Oryctolagus cuniculus: one gene and its partner. The protein of the gene in region 1 interacts with the protein of each later gene in a biochemical or structural test. Links are inferred from orthologs where the notes say so. Each region holds a gene or a part of one and is shown in the gene's direction. Other genes may lie near its edges.

The links.
Region 2: the proteins of DLG1 (region 1) and PKP4 interact in a test that uses a peptide from one of them, tested with the Homo sapiens proteins (2 studies listed by IntAct, with this or other methods). The link is inferred for Oryctolagus cuniculus from reciprocal best matches to the Homo sapiens genes DLG1 and PKP4.

What each region holds. Positions count from the first base shown.
Region 1 is NC_091435.1:83,519,786-83,523,440, reverse strand, and holds part of DLG1 (disks large homolog 1), read left to right. Parts: intron 1-1,435; coding exon 1,436-1,545; intron 1,546-3,655. UniProt on the Homo sapiens protein: Essential multidomain scaffolding protein required for normal development. Recruits channels, receptors and signaling molecules to discrete plasma membrane domains in polarized cells.
Region 2 is NC_091434.1:83,369,604-83,373,258, reverse strand, and holds part of PKP4 (plakophilin-4), read left to right. Parts: intron 1-1,943; coding exon 1,944-2,493; intron 2,494-3,655. UniProt on the Homo sapiens protein: Plays a role as a regulator of Rho activity during cytokinesis. May play a role in junctional plaques.

The sequences.
Region 1 (3,655 bases):
AAAAATTGGAATCAACAGAAGGGAATGGATAGTCAACCCTCATTTATTCATGCAGTGGGATATAACAGCCAGAGTGCATAAATTTGTATATCTAGTAGTTAGGTGTATCCACATTGCTAAGTCTCAAAATTATAATAGTGAATTATAAAGTTTGCTTATGTAAATGTTAGAAAGTATAAAACAGCCAATAATAATATATGGATGCTTGTTTGTAAACAAAAACATGCATGAGAATAATACAGCTACTATCTCTTGGTTTCTTTTTAGAAGGGAAGAGAAGGAAATTAAAACCAGCTTTGGAGAATGTTTTATTTCTTGAAAAATAAAATTTTTAATTTCAAAACTCTTAGCCTAGATAAAAGATAGATATTATCCAGACTTCAGATTAGTAATAGGAAAGTAAACAGCAAATCCAAGTAAACTGTTTCATGTGCAAACCTTGTAGAGAGCAAAAGCAATCTCAAGAAAGAAAAAAAAAGAATGGAAGAGATAAGAGGACAGCAAACATAAGTGGTCTAGTCGGTGAATTTAAGCATGTCAGAAAAGTTATTTAAAGTCAGAATTGAGATTTCCAGATGCCAATTTATGATAAAAGTTTTGCCAGTCCACATAAAATGAGAAGGAGAATAATGGTAGTGAGGTTTTACAAATTTAAACTTACTCAGTTTAGGATATTTACCCATTTTTCTAGGATCTTTTACCTTCTGCTGATCATATATTTTATGAAATTATGGTTATGATGAGAGTAGTTTGGGGTCTTTTTTTAAATGCTCTGTCTTACAAAATTAAAGATCAGCACCCTATATTGGTTGCCATTGAGAGAATACTAATCTTTGAACACCAGGAGTGTGAGAACTGTTTATAACTTTCTGAAATCTTACTTCAGGCTGGCGCCGCGGCTCACTAGGCTAATCCTCCGCCTTGTGGCGCTGGCACACCTGGTTCTAGTCCCTGTCGGGGCACCGGATTCTGTCCCGGTTCCCCCTCTTCCAGGCCAGCTCTCTGCTCTGGCCCGGGAGTGCAGTGGAGGATGGCCCAAGTGCTTGGGCCCTGCACCCCATGGGAGACCAGGAGAAGCACCTGGCTCCTGGCTTCGGATCAGCGCAGTGCGCCGGCCGCAGTGCACCAGCCATGGCGGCCATTGGAGGGTGAACCAACGGCAAAAGGAAGACCTTTCTCTCTGTCTCTCTCTCTCACTGTCCACTCTGCCTGTCCAAAAAAAAAAAAAAAAAAAAAATTCTTACTTCAATAGTGGAAAACTATTTACCCATAAATTTTATATTTTACTTCCCATCTAAAATTTGCTAACAGGATTGACAGATTTGCTTACAGTCAGTGAGTAAGCATACTCTAGTTATTGTGCCTGTTGGAAATGTACCTTTGATGTAAGTGAAGAGAAATGGTTCACTTGGTTTACTGCTTTACTCAATTTTAGGGCAAACACTGTATCCTCGATGTGTCCGGAAACGCCATAAAGAGATTGCAGATTGCACAACTTTACCCGATCTCCATTTTTATTAAACCCAAATCCATGGAAAATATTATGTAAGTGTCAATGCTTAAGTAATAGCCTCTAAATACAAATCCAGTTGTTGTTGTGTATTTCCTGCTCCTGTCTGTTTCTGCATTTGTAAAATGGAGATAAGTGTAGTGTGTATACTCACCTTCTAGGGTGTGGTGAAGATTGGGTAAGCACTATGTGATTAATGCTGTAAGCAGCAGCATTACTGAAGTATAAGATAACATGTATTAGAACTTGAAATGTAAATAGCCACATGTGTGGCCACTGAATTGGGTGGCATAGCTCTAAGGAAACCATTACAAGGATGAAAGAACGCATACCTGTTACTTAACAGAGGATAAAAAATAGAATTGACATAAAAAATTAAGAGCAAATAGAAACAAAGAATGGGTGGGCAAAAAGATAATAGTAGTAAGATATGGTATAAATTAAATATTTCAATAAATAGACTATTGTTGTCTTATTGCTAGACTAAATGCTAGATTAAAAGACAATGACTAGGCCGGCGCCGCGGCTCACTAGGCTAATCCTCCGCCTAGCGGCGCCGGCACACCGGGTTCTAGTCCTGGTCGGGGCGCCGGATTCTGTCCCGGTTGCTCCTCTTCCAGGCCAGCCCTCTGCTGTGGCCAGGGAGTGCAGTGGAGGATGGCCCAGGTGCTTGGGCCCTGCACCCCATGGGAGACCAGGAAAAGCACCTGGCTCCTGGCTCCTGCCATCGGATCAGCGTGGTGCGCTGGCCGCAGCGCGCTGGCCGCGGCGGCCATTGGAGGGTGAACCAACGGCAAAAGGAAGACCTTTCTCTCTGTCTCTCTCTCTCTCTGTCCACTCTGCCTGTCAAAAAAAAAAAAATAAAAAAAAAAGACAATGACTAAAAAGGATTAGCAGAATGGTTGATTAAAAACCAAATTATGGGGCCAGCGCCACGGCTCACTAGGTTAATCCTCCACTTTGCGGTGCCAGCACACAGGGTTCTAGTCCCGGTCAGGGCGCCGGATTCTGTCCCGGTTGCCCCTCTTCCAGGCCAGCTCTCTGCTGTGGCCAGGGAGTGCAGTGGAGGATGGCCCAAATCCTTGGGCCCTGCACCCCCATGGGAGACCAGAAGTACCTGGCTCCTGCTATCGGATCAGCGCGGTGCCCCGGCCGCAGCGCGCCGGCCGCGGCGGCCATTGGAGGGTGAACCAACAGCAAAAGGAAGACCTTTCTCTCTGTCTCTCTCTCTCACTGTCCACTCTGCCTGTCAAAAAATTTAAAAAAAAATTTTTTTTTAATTAAAAACCAAATTATGTGGTTTTCAAAAGAAACACTTGGGTTAGGCATTTGGCACCGCCGTTAAGGTGCTACAGAGGACAGCTACATCTCAAGTTGCAGTCCCTGGTTCAAGTCCTGGCCCTGCTTCTGATTTGACTTTCTGCTAAAGCGTAACTTAGGAGACAGCAGATGATGGCTGAAGTTCTTGGGTGCCTACTATCCACGTGGAAAACCCAGATTGAATTCCTGGTTTCTGGCTTTCATCCTGACTCAGCCCTGGCAGTTCACTAGCCTTGGCTAGTGAACCAGCAGATGAAAAATCTCTCCATCACTGTCTCTGTGTTTCAAATAAAATGAAAATAAATAAAGCAAGCAGGCAAGCAATGGGAAACAGCTTTGTTTAAAAAAAAAAATGATATACAGGCTGGCGCCACAGCTCACTAGGCTAATCCTCCGCCTGCGGCGCCGGCACACCGGGTTCTAGTCCCGGTCGAGGCACCGGATTCTGTACCAGTTGCCCCTCTTCCAGGCCAGCTCTCTGCTGTGGCCCAGGAGTGCAGTGGAGGATGGCCCAAGTGTTTGGGCCCTGCACCCCATGGGAGACCAGGAGAAGTACCTGGCTCCTGCCATTGGATCAGCGCGGTGCGCCGGCCGCAACGCACCAACCGCAGCAGCCATTGCGGGGTGAACCAACGGAAAAAGGAAGACCTTCCTCTCTGTCTCTCTCTCTGCCTGCAAAAAATTTTTAAAAAATAAAATTAAAAAAAATTTTTAAATGATATACCTTAAGTTTTAAGCTATGAAAAGATCAAAAGTAAGTAGAAAAAGATATACCATGACAATGTTAACCAAAAGTATACTGATTTTATATTACTATCAAAATAT
Region 2 (3,655 bases), on another chromosome or scaffold:
ACAGCAGGAGGCAGGGTCCCCAGTGCTTCTTCTCAGTGACTTAGGAGAAACATTAAGAAACCTTTTTGGATTAAAACAAACACAAATATAGCACATGGGAAATCGAGCAAGCTCCTCCAAGCTGCCCTCCCAGTCCTTCAAATACACATTTATTCCTTTGCTTTTAAGGATTCTTTAGTGGAAAAGTTTGAGACGCTTTGGACTAAATGCCTACGGGAGTTCATCGACTTAGGTGAATTTCTGTGTCAGCAGATCTGAAGTCATTCTTTTTGTCAGCAATTACCTTCACTGTAGCAACTACGTTTTTCCATGTCACAGTGATTATGTTACCTATTTTTTAACTTGCAGTAAATTGATTTTGTTCCTGAAGCTGAGAAATTATGTAGCAAAGGGGTCTCTAAGACTTATTTTGTATGTAGTTTTGGCAACACATTGTTTAGCTATCTAGGTCAAATGTTGTTCCATTTTGATAGCTACAAGTCGTGTGAGATTGTCTTTTCTTATTGTTAGCACTGTTGTTACCCCAGCACACATATTAACTTCCCAACTGCTTATTAAATTTTAAGTTTCATCTTTCTTGCCTTTTTTAACTTATCATCGTTCTTGCTTTGTTTACATACTGTCCTCTTGCCTCCTCAGCTTTGCTTCTTCAAGGCTATTGTCTTCCCACAATTGTGGAACTTGAGCACACTTGAGGTGTCAGAGCAGGTGTTTCAATCAGTTCAGTTGCTTGTGTCACCTGCCAGCAAAGCATATATGCTCTTAGGACATCAAAGAGTGTACAAAGTCCATCTCTTATCCTTGTTTCTTTCCTTATTGTCACAATTAAAAATGGAAGGGGTTGATGGCAAATGGACTCTAGCAATCAGGAGATAACAGGGCACCCTGGTCCTGGGCCTGTAACCTGGAGCCCTTATGTCAGTTTCCATTTCTTATCCTGCTCTCCTTTTTCCCAATGCCTCTTCCCCCGCACTACATGTCCTCACCCACTTATATGGTCCAGATACTGTTCGTCTTCATTGTTGTTCAGCATCAAGAAAGGCATCTGCCACCTGCTATGTTTGCAGCAGCCTATGGATTCTTATCAGAATCAGCCATGGCAGAAATATTCAATTCCTATTCAGGTCTTTTCCAGCTTGCTGAGCCAGGAACTCAGCCAAGACCTTGAGCATTCCTCCTATTGGGACAGATTTGGGGGAATCTTTCTTTACATGTTCTCAAAATTGCTTAGCTAATGCTAAGTGCTACAGATCAGAGAAGGTAAAAAGAAATGGCTAAAATCAGTAGAAGCTACACTTAAACCAAAGGAACAACAAATTAGGCTAGAGCACCTGTGCAGCCAAGCTGTCCCTTGAAGTAAATTCACAGGGAAGAGCAGTGGAGCCAGAGTCTACCCAAATGTTCACTTATTGCACATTTAAAGAACACATTCCTTTTGTTAATGGGGCCAGCCCAGAAAGACTGGACAATTATAAATTCTCCTGTGGCTACATTTAAACTGATGTATTTTTTTAATCCTTTCTGTTTTACAAAAATACATTACCTTTGGCTCACAGGGAATGAAATAAGTACATTGCACCTGTGGTCCTTACAAATAAGTTATTAGTAACACTTGTAATAAAACATTGTGTATGTTGTGAAAAAGGCATAGGTAGAAGGTAAAAAATGTAAAGACAAAAATAAAAAGGAATATCACATGTATTCAGTTGTCTTTACTGGTTCATTTTAGTGTTCAGACTAAACGACCAAAAAAAAATGCATTACAAGAAGAGCACTGTGAGAAAAAATTAAGATCTAACTCTAGGGCATGAAAAGGAAGAGAAACTTAGATGACTAAAATAAGCAGTGAGTTCACATTCTGTAGTGAGCTATGTGCATTTTTTTCTGTAATGGACACAAAACCCTGGATAAACCCAATTCTCTTTTCTCCCCCCTTCCATCAGCCATCAGTAGCCAATCGGGCCATGAGAAGAGTTAGTTCAGTTCCATCTAGAGCGCAGTCTCCTTCTTATGTTATCAGCACAGGCGTGTCTCCTTCAAGGGGGTCACTGAGAACTTCTCTGGGTAGTGGATTTGGCTCTCCATCGGTGACGGACTCCCGACCTCTGAACCCCAGTGCATACTCGTCCACCACATTGCCCGCTCAGCGGGCAGCCTCTCCGTACTCACAGAGACCCGCCTCCCCAACAGCCGTGCGCCGGATTGGGTCAGTCACCTCCCGGCAGACCTCCAATCCCAACGGACCAACCCCTCAGTACCAAACCACCACCAGAGTGGGGTCCCCGCTGACCCTCACGGATGCACAGACTCGAGTAGCTTCCCCATCCCAAGGCCAGGTGGGGTCATCGTCCCCCAAACGCTCAGGGATGACTGCCGTACCACAGCATCTGGGACCTTCACTGCAAAGGACTGTTCATGACATGGAGCAATTCGGACAGCAGCAGTATGACATTTACGAGAGGATGGTTCCACCTCGGCCAGACAGCCTGACAGGTGAGTACCAGGCGGTGGCCCGCCAGATAGCCAGCCTAGTGAGGAAATCTGGGGAAATATAGCTGAAACAAGTATAGCATGGGAAAGAGCTTGTTTTTATCTCAAGATTTACACTGTAGGGGCCGGCGCCATGGCGCAGTAGGTTAATCCTCTGCCGGCAGCATTGGCATCCCATATGGGCACCTGTTCAAGACCCGGCTGCTCCTCTTCTGATCCAGCTCTCTGCTATGGCAGGGGAAAGCAGTAGAGAATGGCCCAAGTGCTTGGGCCCCTGCACCCTCATGGGAGACCGGAAGAGGCTCCTGGCTCCTGGCTTCTGATCGGCGCAGCTCCAACCGTTGCAACCAACTGGGGAGTGAAGCAACTAAGGAAGACGGTCTCTTCCTCTTACTGTCTGTAACTCTACCTCTCAAATAAATAAATAAAATCTTTAAAAAAAAAATAAGAAAAAGAAAGACTTACACTGTAAATTTCAGTTTTGTTTGTCTTTTGAGCTCTATAAATCTGAATCCATGAAATTATATACATTTGCATCAGCAGAATTTGAGTTGAATTAAATGTTTCCCCCTCAAAATATTAAAATGCACTTTCTTGAATTTTAGAAGAATTGGTTGGAATTCGAATCAAGCTGTTTCTTGATTTTGTTTAAATACACTTATTTATTTATCTGAAAGAGAGGCAGACAGAGAAAGAAAAGCTCCCATCTATTGGTTCACACCCCCAATGCCTACCACAGCTAAGGCCAAAGCCAGGAGCCAAGAGCTCAGTCTGGATCTCCTGTATGGGTGGAAGAGACTCAACTATTTGAGCCATCACCTGCTTCTTCCCAGAGTGTGTGTTAACAGGAACCTAGAGTTTGGAACTGAGCCAGGACACACATCCGGACACTCCAGAATGGGATGTGAGCATCTCAGTCACTAAGGCCAAAGGCTCACCCTCTGATTTGTTTTTTTAATGAAAGATTTTTCACCAGTCAGGCCTACCCTACATCTACCCATAAGTTATGTTCAAGATGGTTTCAGAATATTTTTAACATAACATACTTAATTTTTTTCCTATAGCAATGCTTTGGTAATTATAGACTAAGACATGAAGTTTACCCCCTACTTTGATTTTGGCATCCCAGTGGTAAATACACAATACTGTTAGGAATCCCCTTTAA